Linked DNA regions of Drosophila melanogaster. The protein of the gene in region 2 purifies or fractionates together with the protein of the main gene of each other region. This does not show direct contact. Each region holds a gene or a part of one and is shown on either strand. Other genes may lie near its edges. The genes, in order: smg and Rbp6.

Region 1 (7,843 bases), 8.2 Mb from region 2:
ACTAAAGCAAACATAATAGTAATAGTAGAGATAATCTAATCAATGACAATGGTGATCATGATCGGTATGCAATACATGGATTTGGCTTACGCTTAAATATGCAAAATACAATATGTGGTTCCGATTCTCAAACACAAACAGTGAAACATTGAAACTCTTTTCTGTTAAAGTTTAGTCTAGTGGTAGTTTCCGCCGTTGCGATTTCCTCTGGTGCAGTTACGGTTCAGCAAATATGTTCCTTTTAATTTAAAATAAATTATGTGTACGTGTATATATAAACATATTCATTATGTGACTACTACTTCATTCAGCAAGCCTAGTTTTGATTCGCGCAAACAATTATCAGCTCTCGTTTCTCAATTCTCACTTTTCAATTCCCTCTCCATCCAGCTTTCTTCCTTCTAGTTTTTATAGTTGCGAAAAGTAATCTTAGTCAGTCTCATGGTCACGATGCAGAGTTCATTTTATAATTTTTTACTAGATAAACCATTTTTCGTCGTCGTTCAGATCGGGGTATTTCTTTCATTTGGCGACGTTGTTGATAGTGAATGAAATAGTTGATGTTGTGATTGGGGTTTAGAATAGCGTAAAATGTTGATCAAATTTGGCCAAATTTTCCTAGGTAGAGAGAAGTTACTGTATTCTGTTGTTGCGATCTGTGTGTGTGTGTGTTGTGGGGCTTGGCTTGTTAGTTTAACTACATAAATGGCGACAACATTTACGAAACCTATACATTAATAACATTGACAGTAAGATGCCACGCCCCCGCTGACAACCGACATGGGATTACCGTCGGGGAGTGCAGCATGGGCTCCACAAGTTCATCGGCCAGCCGTTGGTCCTGCGAGCCCGAGTCAATTGATCATATCTTTGGGGGCGCCTTGGCATACAGTTAATAAACTTAACATTAAAACAAACTATCGTCTTACTAACTAAAAACGATTACAGAACGGGATGTGAAAGGAGACGCAGGGTGGACAACTTGACGCGACACAAAAATAGACACGAATCTTAAATATCTAAATATAAAAACATTTATGTTCGTTATGAAATCAAACATCAAACACGGCTCAAAGCTAAATGAACACAAAAACAGCTGGCAGCCTCAAATCTAACGCCATTACATGATGATTTCAAAACCCAGATAGCCCTGAATCTTGCTCAGTTCATTGCCTGTTCAGTCATTTGGCGACACAACGTCTCCAGCTGTTCTAGGCTCTTAAAGTCGTTCATCTTGTACTCGGTGACGTGGGGCGACATGCCCAGGCTGCCCAACGGTGACTGGGACAGGCAATGGTCTACGCCATGATTGTTGTTCTTGCTGCTTTGGTGACAGATATTGTGGACACAGGCACCACCACCACCATTGGAGCACAGACAGCTGCCACTGCCCACGGCGGCAGCAGCTGCTGCCAAAAGTTGCAACTGTTGCTGGTTAATCAAATTGTTGTTCAGCATGCTGTTGTTATTATTGTTGTTGATCAGGATCTGGGGCTGATCGTGCTGGTCCTGATTCTGGTTTGGATTACTAACCATCACAACAGCGGCCATGGTCTTCTTTGGTTGTTGCTCCGCACTGGACACTCCTCCGCTAAGTTTTCTCTGCTGCTGCTGCTGCTGCGACTGCTGATTGCGTTCCAATACCAGGTTGTCGTTAGATCCGTTGTTGGTGAGCACTCCCTGACCGGGCTTAAAGATCAATTGCTGCGGTTGCTGCGGACCTCCGGCCACCAGAATAAGATTATTCAGCGACCGGCGATGCGATTGTGGTGGCGTCTGCTGAGGCAGCGCTGGAAAGTGGTTGTGTTGCTGCAACATCTGTTGCATCTGCTGGGGATGATGATGCGACTTACTAGACGGCGGCGGTGGTGGCTGCTGCTGAGGATTACCCATGAAGCTTGGGTACGAGGAGCTCTTGTACTGCGGCTGATGGGATGGACCGCCGCCATAGCCGTTGTAGTCAAACTGTGGCAGAGGCGGCGGAGCCTGCTGCGAATGATGGGGCAGCGGGTGTGGCAGGCAATTTAGCGAAAAGTTTAGCATGTCGTTGGAGTTTTTGCGGTTGTTAATCCTATCGTTGCTGCCATTTTTAGTATCGCATTTGCGAGTCTTACCATTCCATCTAAAATAACAGCTCATTTTTAAAATGCATTACTTTTTATCTTATTGAAAACCTTACCTTGGCTTGTTAATGTTCCCATTGTTTGGCCCGACGCCGGCTGGCTTGACGTGATGCATTTTGGGAACCATGGAGATCTTCATTTTGGACAACTTAAACTTCAGGTCCTTGAGTTGACTGGCGTGATTCATAAATGCCTCGTTGTGGATAGAGCGGTCTAGAATCCACATAAGCACACCCAAAGTCTCGTCGTCTTGGACAGCATACGGATCCTGCTGCAACGTATTGGTCACAATGTCAATGACCTTAAGAAAACGCAGACCAATGTTTTCCTCCGGTGGTCCTGGAGACTCCAGTGGCTTCATTGGTGTCAGCACAATATTTGTTAGCTCCTCAACCGCCGTGCTCAGCTCCATTTGACCCGATAGCAGTTCTTGTTCTACCCGGTTAAGAATATTGGCCCGTTCCTTCAGCTTATCAATGCAAAGGGCAAGCTTGTGGGAGGCGCCCTTGGTGACGCCAACACTCTGCAGAAAGTCCTCGGTGATCAAGAGCATTTCCTCGTACGTCATGTTCTTGAACAGCTCGATGTACTTGTGCAGACGCAAGGATTTTAGCCAGAGTCCGATTCCCGACATGCCCACGTTGCGCGTGTGGAACTTAATATAATTGGGCTTGAATTCATCCAGACGAGTATCGGAACCGCTGTTCATCAAGGCGCCGCGCTGATGCTCAATCGATAAGGAAAAACTACGGGGCTTGTTGGCAAACTGTGCCAGATTCTCCGTTGAATTGGAGCAGTTGTCATTGACCGTGATCACCGATGAGTTAGACGAGCTGGAACAGCTAGAGATCGTTTGCGTGGTGAGGCTGTTAGAGCGCCGCGTCTTCAGGGCTGCAATCTTGCTGTCCAGGCTCCACCGGTTGATCTCTCCAAACTGATCGCCCACGTTTCCCATAAGGATCGAGGCATAGGGAGGAGGCTGAAGCAATTGCTGCTGAAGATTCGGCGGAGGTTGCGATCGATCCTCAACAGGATTTCCACCGTTACGTCCACAAAGGCTACTGCTGGCCAGACTACAGGCCTCACCCATGTCCGCCGTCACCGGGTCAAAATCGAGAATCTCCGTGCCATTCTTGCTAAATGACGTGTCATGATCGTCGCCACCAGCGATTCCCAACATAGAGCCTGCACCAGCGACCACACCGTTGACCAGGGAAGAGCTGCCCTCCAGCGACAGGCCGAGACTGTTCTGACTAGAAGCTAATTCGTTCAGGGTAATACCATTAAGATTATCACAGAGTGGATTGATCGACCCGCTGGAGCTGCCGCCTCCATTGCCACGCCAATCACCGGCCAATTTGTTTTGCAATTGCTTGCTGGGCGGGGCGATCGTTTGCCAGTCGTTGGTGCGTGAGGAACGGCTGCCGCTTGCGGGGCACAACGAGGATGAGGCCACCGACGAACAGGATGCTGTCGAAGAGCTGGTCGCCGAAGAGGAACAGCTACCACTGCCTGTTGAGCTACCACCAGCGACCAGTTGCGGCGAGGGCTGCAGGAAGTAACTGCGATTTGTCAGGCCCGCCGCAGCCGCTTGGATATGATCCTCCAAGTGACGCAGCCAAATGTTGAGCGAACGTCTGTCCTCGCTGGTGATAGCTGGATGGATGAGTAGGTACGAGAAGATCTGCTGCACCAACTCCGTGGGCACAATTTGCTGCATGGTGTCCTTGACGGCAACTGGTATAAGGGTCAGGTAGATAAGCTTGGCCTCCTCATTGCCCGGCTTCAGCAGAGGCAGCATGTTCAGTACTTCATGCAGAATGTCCTCCTTGCGGGCATACAGCTTCCGCTCGTCACACTGCGCCGATGTGGTGATCTGGAAGTCACTGCCGTAGCATGGCATCGAGTCCTTGTCGGACGACGAGGAGGACATGGCGTCGAGCAGGTCACATGGCTGGAACGTCTTGTAGGCGTTGAGTAGATTCTGCAGGTACACCGGATTGTTGGCATTGATGTCAATAACCACGCTGCTCAGATTGGTCTGGGAGGTGCCCAGGTTCTGGGTCAGGTTGCTGTCGATAGAATACTGTAGAAACTTGAGGCTCGGGTAGCGCAGCCGCTTGAGCAGCGCGTACATCACGACGGTTCGCTCGCAGTCGTTCCACTTCTCGAAGAGATTTGTCACTGTGGTCACCTGCTCGCAAAACAGCGCATTGGACGGCTGGCTCTGGCTGGGATTGGCGTTAGAATTGGGATTGCCATTGGCGTATGTCGCCGTCGTCGTGGCCGTTGATGTGGCCTCCTTGTGGGCTGCAGTAGGCGTTGATGTGGTTGGCTGCATCTCGTTGGATGCACTGTTAGAGTTATTGGTTTGGCCGCTGATGCCGGAGGTCATCGCGTTGTCAGTTCCAGTTGCGTACTTCATCTCGTTGTTAGTTGCTTCTTGTTTTTTGGGGATAGTTCTTACTATAGTTTATGGTATTGTATTTGTTACGGCTTCTTTGTGGTTATTTGGTTGCGTTGCTGCAAGTAAAGATAACGGGGTAGGATTAATAATTGAACTATTATGTAAAGCTAAACTTTGTGACTGTGGTAATACAATTTTTTTTATGCTCAATGAGCTGTATCATTCGCTTAAAGCCTAGTTTAGCCCAATCTAATCACTTCCATAGAAAAATACCACAATTCCGAACCACGTGATCCAATCAATAGCTTCTCCCTTATTCCATGGATTTGTCGCCATTGCTCCACTCGGGATTAGAGTGCCGTGCAGCGATAATAAAATAAACTTTAAGCCGCAAATAACGTTCGAATTTAATCAAATCAGTTTTCGCTAATTTGTTAAATTTACAAGCGCAATAGCAACAACAATTATCTGTAATTGACGAATGGAAATTAGCATTTGCTTGGTCGGCTGGCTTATCAGGAAAGCAAATAAACAAGCAACAAATATATAACACCTTCGATTCGCTTTGATGGCGCAAATGACGAGGGACGATAAATCAATAAAATAACAAACATTTCAAATACGAAATCGCTGATTTCGACTTGGCGGCGTTCGGATTTTGATTTCCGGGCGGGAAAGTAGAGCGGGGGCGAGAAGTTTGGTTAGGTTGTATTTTTTTTGCACAGTTTCGCGCTTTTCATTTAGTTTCGTTTGTGCCCATTTCGAATCTTGTTTCTTCTGCCGCCGTTGCTGTTGTTGTTATTATTGCTTTTACTCTGACGACTTTCTTCGATTTTTGTTGCCGTGTTTTCACAGTAAGCACACAAAACATTGAACAAATCAACGCATGGGAGTCAAAAAATTTGAAAATTAAAGTATCTATTTTTTAATGTAAAATGTAGTTTTAAGAGAAATTGCTGCATTTTATTTTTTTATCCTGGTTTACGACATCGAGTGTTGACTGTAATCTAAGCCAGAGACAGTGTAACTGACTGTGTATTGGTACCCCAACTTAAGTTAGTGTGTGTGAGCAAGCAGTAAAACATAACGGGCCCCAATTACTGCATTTAAAGCACATTCACTGCTATGGAATTTACCGATGTTAACTTCTTTGCTATTTAACGTAACGTTTTATATGAAATTTCACATTTCCCTGCGAGACTGGGAGCGCAAAAGAGTCGTTTGGGGCGACTCGATCTAACGGTACTTGTGCATGTCGATCTTTGAGGTTATGCGTCACTGCAATTGCTGTTGTTTTCTAACCGGCTTGCAAATAAAAAAATTACCGAAGTTCAACAAAAGTTCAAAGTTCAAAGATTGCAAGCACGCACACACACGCAAACGTAAAGGATACTGCAAACTCACACGCTCTTATATATTATCGTATTTTGGCTGCCCTTTCAGCAGTCGCGATCACAGGCGCTTGGCATATTCCGAACGCTTTTATTTACATATGTACGTTGCGAATAAATTTGATTATATCTGCAAAACTGCAGATCCAACCACACAGAACAGAAGAATTGGTTTAGCACAGCGAAGCTCAGCTGAAGACGAGAAGCTGCAGTGGGGAGCACCGCGGAGGAGGAGCGGCTGATGGCGAATGATTTGGCGCTGGCGTCAGCGATTTAGAAAGAAAATGGTGGAGCTGCAGAAGCAGCGCAGCGGCAGGCAGAGCGAAACGGGCGAAAAGGAGCGCGCGCCTTTTTTTTCTGACAGGATTGATGCTGATGCTGATGCTGCTACTGCTGTCAAGAAAATGGGGAGAGCACTCACTTACACGCACACACAGACGGAGACCTTGCTGCGCTCGTCGGCAGTGGTATGTGTGCGAGTGAGAGTGACACACTGAGCAATGCACGGGCAAAATTGCGGTAAATTACATGCATTACATTTAAGGGAGAGGGGTGGGGCTCCTGCGGGGTAAGCGGGTTTTGTTGTTTTCACCACACAGAGCAGCAGCGCACAGTACACAGAACACACAAGATTGGCCCCCAAAATCACGCCCCACCCACCTAGCCACGGTCGGCCAGACAACAAAAATATATAGCTACAGTGCGCTTGTGCCAAAATTCGTTCTATTTTTCAATTACCTTTTCGCCTTCTATTCGCCTGCTGCAAACCTTGAAATTATTTTCTGTTGCAATTCACAGTTTTGATTCGATCAGCACGAGAAACGAGCATATTTCGCTAATTTGATATGCTATCGGATCGCGTATTTATTAATTTATAATTTTCACCTTTGCTCGCGCGCGCGTTTGTGTGAGTGCGTATGTGTGTACTTTTTATTAGCACTTTTGGGCTTTAGCGTTGTTGTTTTTGCTAAACCATTACTTTTTTTTAGACACACAATTCATGGCGCTTACGCTCACAAACGCCCGATTACTGAGTACTGCGCACGGTTGCTGTTGCACTTGGTCGGATGCATGTTTCGCCAGCTAATCCATTTTTTCAGCAATTAATTAATTATTTATTCACGCGAACGCAGCGTTGCTAGTGCTGGAACAAAAATCGATGTGTACTCGATACAGTCGATCTTTCTTGCAAGCGGTTATCGGTTACTTTCCCTTGGTGATGGACGCTCAGTTGAGCAGCAAAGCTGCCCTAGGTTCGATGCCGTGCTCATGCAGCGCGGACTCAAACCACGGTTTTAGCTAGAAAATTGCCAACAAAAATGATCTCCGCGCTTTGGCCTATTTCTGTGGTTATTTGACAGTAAGCGGAGACGGTGACACTGTACCACCAATTGGAACAAAATAAGGATATTTTCTTTTTGCATTTTGCTCGATATGCAATGCAGAAAATATCCAGCGAGGCTCTGAATCAAGGCTCTGGGATAGCGTTCAGCTCGAGGAAGTGATTGAAACGATAAATACATCCCGGAACGGCCACAATCCCGACAAAAACAAACGCTCTGGTCAACAACAATACATCATCAACAAAATTCTTTCAACCTGCTGCAGAGCAAAATGTTTGCCCAAAACCAAAAGGCCAGCTTCCTGGAGCAGACAAAGGCGGCGCGGGAGGAGCGGGCACTGGAAAAGCGACGCGAACAGGCGGCCATCCTGCTGCAGTCCACGCTCAAGGGATATGCGGCGCGTAGGAAGTACCAGAAACGAATCATGTAAGTGTCTATCTACTTTTATGGAACATCCTAAATAGTAACCCGTTTTGCAGACTCGATTTCGATGCCATGTTCACTGAGAATCATGACGATAAGGATGCGGAACTGGAACTCGTGGCAAGCAACGTCTATCCGGTGCTTCGTCGCTACCTC
Region 2 (4,908 bases):
GCTGGACAAGAACGAGCTGAGCAGAAAAATGGCTGCACTGACACCAGGCTTCACAGGCGCTGACATCGCGAATGTTTGCAACGAAGCTGCTTTGATTGCCGCCCGCGACTCCAAGGATTCGATCGTACTCAAGCACTTCGAGCAGGCCATTGAGCGTGTTATCGCTGGCATGGAGAAGAAGACCAATGTTCTGGCGCCGGAGGAAAAGCGAACGGTGGCACACCACGAGGCTGGCCATGCGGTGGCCGGTTGGTTCCTGGAGCACGCAGATCCCCTGCTGAAGGTCTCGATTATACCACGCGGCAAGGGTCTGGGCTACGCCCAGTATCTGCCCAAGGATCACTACTTGCTGTCCAAGGAGCAGTTGTTCGATCGCATGTGCATGACGCTCGGCGGACGTGTGGCCGAAGAGCTGTTCTTTAATCGCATTACCACTGGTGCTCAGGATGATCTAAAGAAGATCACCGATATTGCCTACTCCCAGGTGGTGCGTTTCGGCATGAACGAGAAGGTCGGGCAGGTCAGCTTCGATGTGGGCCAGGCCGGTGATCCCGTTTTCAGCAAACCATACTCGGAGGACACAGCGCAGCTGATCGACAACGAGGTGAGGTCGATTATCAAATGTGCCCACGAGGCCACCACTAGTCTGCTGACCAAGCACAAGGAGAATGTTCAAAAAGTGGCGGAAAGACTGCTCCAAAACGAAGTGCTCAGCCGTGATGATATGATTGAGCTGCTGGGCCCACGACCCTTCAAAGAGAAGTCAACCTACGAGGAGTTCGTCGAGGGTACCGGCTCCTTCGAGGAGGACACCACTCTGCCCGAAGGCCTCAAGAGCTGGAACAAGGAAAAGGAACGAACGGAGCCTCTGGACGCTGGCAGCACGCCATCATCGCCGCCCACCAAGCCCGTAACTGCCCAGAGCAGTTAGGCAACGATCTTCGCTCATGTGGATGGGGAGTTTTGGTGTGGTAGTTCGAGGGTGCCGACATCTGTTTGTTTTTGTTGTAATCCCTAAACGCGGACCGGAGAAAACCCCGACATGTGGCAGATCGAGAAGGCAGGGCTCAAGGAGTTCCTAGACCTTCTGGAGTTACAGTTCTCCACGACGCGTTCATTATTGTTTTTGCATAATTTTAAGATACCCACATGGATAACTTGTTCCCGTGTTGAGCAATTAAGTGCTAGCCTGTACTAAATTCCCCGTATGCGTAGTTTCAAAATGGCAATAAAGAATGGAAATGACCTGTCAGTGTGGAAAAGCGAAATTAAACGATGTTATCAAGGCGAAAAATAATCGAATCAGTGTTGTTACTGCCTTACGGTTTAAACCCGTTTTCGAAAACAGCAAAAGTTGCAAAATACATACAATGTATTGCTTCATTATGTATATTTCATACAATAAAATGTTATGATAACATTGGAATGCAAAATTTGTTCTTAACTTTGGGATAGCCAGCTTTATTCTTAAGTTGACTGATAGTGCCAGGTTAAAATTTTTTTCAGTGTGAGCTTTTAAAGCTGCACGCGGTTTAAGAGAGTGCCGCTCTCTTCGGTAAGCTTTCTCCGCAAACTTTCGCCGGCTACTCTTCCTCGCTGCGGCTTATCACTTATCAGCTGTGATGCTGAAGTACATGCGCCATGTGCAGCCGGTAAATAGTGCAACTGCCGCAGTCGGCGCCTCTGCCGGTGCAAAGCTCCGTAGGGGCAGCACCAGCGGCAACAACAACAGCAGCAACAGCAGCGAAGGCAGAGAGTGCAGCAGTGCAGTCGACGTCGCTGCCGCCGGTCGTTTTGGGGCCGTCAGTTGGGTTTTGGGGTCTCGCCGCTCAGTGTCGTCTTGTTGGTTGTCGCGTTCGTGTGCGCGCACTGAGAAAAGCGGAACGCCAGCGTTGCACTAACCGTTGCAGTTTCTATATTACTCTCGAGTCGCCCGATTTCAGAGCTGTTCGTACCGCTCGTGGGAGTGCGTGCGTTTTAACCAAAACAACTACCAAATCGCGTACAAGATACCAAACCAATATAACCGAGAGGCCCGAAAGGAAAACCCCTGCTGTGGAGGGCATTTTGCATTTTGTTTACCTCGATGGCTGTGTGGAGTGCAATTTGACGATTATATAATATAAAATACAAAATACAAAAAATAGGGAAAACGAGTAACAGTGCGCGGCATTCGATTTTAATTGCAATCAACTACAATAACCGCTGAAGTAGAGGAGTTAAAGCGCAAACCTCTCCCTCGCACCCCCGCCCTCCCTCTCACTCACACTCACTAACACATTGCGTTTGTGTTGATCTTTCCTGCAAAATGGCTGCCGGCCGGCAAAATAACGGCAACATCCATACTTGATCGATAGAAAGAGAGCGGCAGAGAATCCCTAGCGATTTCATGTTTGATTTATTGGATTTTATTTTTCCTGAGACTTTCCTTTAGGCTTCTTGTTTGATTTCTTAGAAAATTAAAATTATGTATTTATGACAAATGGTGACCATTAGGATGAACAGAACAAGGAGGAGAATTTAATGCTAATGTTTATTTATTTTGTCAAGAAAATTATATTTAAATTTGTTTTGCCATTTGCATTTATTCTGCTTTAAGATAGGAAGCAAAATATCTCTTATCAATTAGTGTAAAATCAATCAACAAACACGTGTATTACATAAAATTTAAATTTGATTAATATTTTCGTTCCTTTTATTAGAGATCTTCGTTGTGATCACTTTTATAAAATGGCTGACATCGGTAACGGTAACTTCGATTACTGATCAATCGAGCGCCCCCTGTCGGCGATTCTCTTAGCTCTGTTTTAGTTTATCGTTTATTTTGTTTTATTTTGTGCTGCCAATTGTCGCAATTGCAATTGTCGGGTCACGTGTTTGTTGCTGCCGCCAGTTAACTTCTGCTCTCGTTGTAACGGTGCATGTTCCCTGTGCGGGTGTGTGTGTGCTGATGTACGATTGTGTGTGTGCGTGTCTGTTCGTGAAAGCTTGCATGCTGCGCGTTATTATATTGTTGCTGGCGTTGTTGTAATTTTTGTTGAGGGAGTCACTGCATGCAATGTTCTTCTTGCCCTTTCGCACCTCCCTATCTATCTATCTCTGTCTTTTTCTATTATTTGTTGTTGCTTTTACTGCTGTTGTGGGTGTGGGAAAAATCAAGGCGCGTATTAAGCACAGAAAATGCAAAAAAGAACACACACAAAATATAGGAAAGCGAATAATTTCGGAGAGAAAGCAACGGAAAATAATTGCTTTAACAAGCAAAAGTTCAAAGCTATAAAATTTGGATGCCAGCATTTTTGAATTTCCGAAAAATTGTTCGGGAAACCAAGGTGTTTCTGGCGTAAAAAAAAGTGTCACTTAAAACCTTTTTAATGTTAAAAATCGTTCAGATTATTTAACAACGATGGGAATTTATGAAATTAGTAGAGAGCTTTTTACTAAATATTTGGAATTTTATAATTATTACACAAGCTCACAATAAGTAAACACGTATACTTATAATTTTTGAAAAACATTTGGATCTTTAACCTTTTATATTTAGTTTTCTTAATTTTTTATGAGACGCCTATTCTAAGAAAATTAATTTGATGGCTCATGCCATATGTGTAAAGTGAGTCAAATTTATTTCAAACAAAGATCTTTTACAGTCTTAGTACCGCATCCCAATTGTCACTCAGCCGTTACTTAACCGCCCCCCTTTTCCCACCCGTTCCTCACCTGGCTTTTCCACGGTTTTCCTCCCTCTCTCTCTCTATCGCTCCCACATCGGTTGCACTTTTTTGCATTTTACGATTGTTCGTTGCGAATCATTGCATTTTAGGGGGTGGGTGGGGGTGGTGCAGCAGCTGCGGATGGGTGGGAAAGCGAGGAGTGGCGAGGGGGAGCGAGTGAAGGGGAAAATTGCATTTTCAAAAGTTTCCCTGGGCAAAGTTTAAAATTGCAATTTAATTAATTTTCACCAAACACAACGAAACAGATCTTTTGCAGTAATATGTTGCCTTCAAATCAATTGGGAAACCAACAACCAAAGTTAACGCAACGTTTCTAAAACTTAAAGTCTAAACAACAAACGAAATAATAGTTACGAAATACACAATAATATTTAAACCAAACCAAAAGTGGCCTGCAAAACGAAGCAACCAAAACAACCAAAACAACCAAGAAATGTGATTCAATGTGTGCAATGTAACCAAATTATAATTAACAAGCTAAATAAAACGATAACTAGAGCAGGAGAAAAGCCGTGGAAAATCAGCGGGAAAGCCAACCAAAGCCAGGCCAAATGGAAAACAAGGAATCCGGCAGCCAATCGAACAGCCAACTAGCAGCCATCGTGGCCAATGATTAAGGGAACACTCTGTTAGCCAACTCGTAGTAGCAGCATCCCCCGTCCACACATAACACCCAGTAACACAGCCACTCAGCCGCACAGAACCACTCGACCTCCCCTCGCATCTCGATGCTCGCACAGAAGGCGTTGGAGCAACAATTATAGAATAGACAGCCAGACGACCACATCAGCTCAGCTCAGCCCCAACTGCAAACTCCAATCACCAGCTCCAGCTCCAACTCAATCTCAATCCCGAGCCAAAACCCCCAACATGGACATCAAGATTGAGCAGCAGCAGCAGCAACAGCAAGTGGAGCTGGGACCCTGTTCCCCCTCGGAGGTGCCCAATGATCCCGGGTAAGTGTGCTGCTCTTATATGTACATGTATACCCTAGCGAAAGGGTATCTCAGAAAGTAGAGAATATATTTTAATCAACTTGAGAAGAAAAAGATTTACTTCGATTTATTTATATTACTTTCGCTCTACAAGCACTAAAAATCACCATCCTTAAAAGGATGTGCGAAATTTATATTTCAGTTCTGTAAATCATAATTAAAATATATTTTCCTAAGAC

The links.
Region 1: the proteins of Rbp6 (region 2) and smg purify together in Drosophila melanogaster (affinity purification with western blotting, with the first as the bait; one study listed by BioGRID). This does not show direct contact.

The regions. Positions count from the first base shown.
Region 1 is NT_037436.4:8,990,920-8,998,762, forward strand, and holds the start of smg (smaug), read right to left. Parts: upstream 6,176-7,843; 5' UTR 5,935-6,175; intron 5,653-5,934; exon of another isoform or gene 5,563-5,652; intron 5,331-5,562; exon of another isoform or gene 5,143-5,330; intron 4,999-5,142; exon of another isoform or gene 4,804-4,998; intron 4,647-4,803; 5' UTR 4,549-4,646; coding exon 2,180-4,548; intron 2,123-2,179; coding exon 1,162-2,122; 3' UTR 1,125-1,161; intron 619-1,124; coding exon of another isoform or gene 577-618; 3' UTR 1-576. Other genes in the region: CG5087 (uncharacterized protein), read left to right, coding at 7,536-7,690, 7,744-7,843. UniProt on the Drosophila melanogaster protein: Translation regulator that binds to the 3'-UTR of specific mRNAs such as nanos (nos) and prevents their translation. Prevents translation of unlocalized nanos in the bulk cytoplasm via the recruitment of cup.
Region 2 is NT_037436.4:17,235,134-17,240,041, reverse strand, and holds the start of Rbp6 (RNA-binding protein 6), read left to right. Parts: upstream 1-1,829; 5' UTR 1,830-2,210; intron 2,211-3,979; 5' UTR 3,980-4,604; coding exon 4,605-4,690; intron 4,691-4,908. Other genes in the region: Afg3l2 (AFG3 like matrix AAA peptidase subunit 2), read left to right, coding at 1-931. UniProt on the Drosophila melanogaster protein: RNA binding protein that regulates the expression of target mRNAs at the translation level. May play a role in the proliferation and maintenance of stem cells in the central nervous system.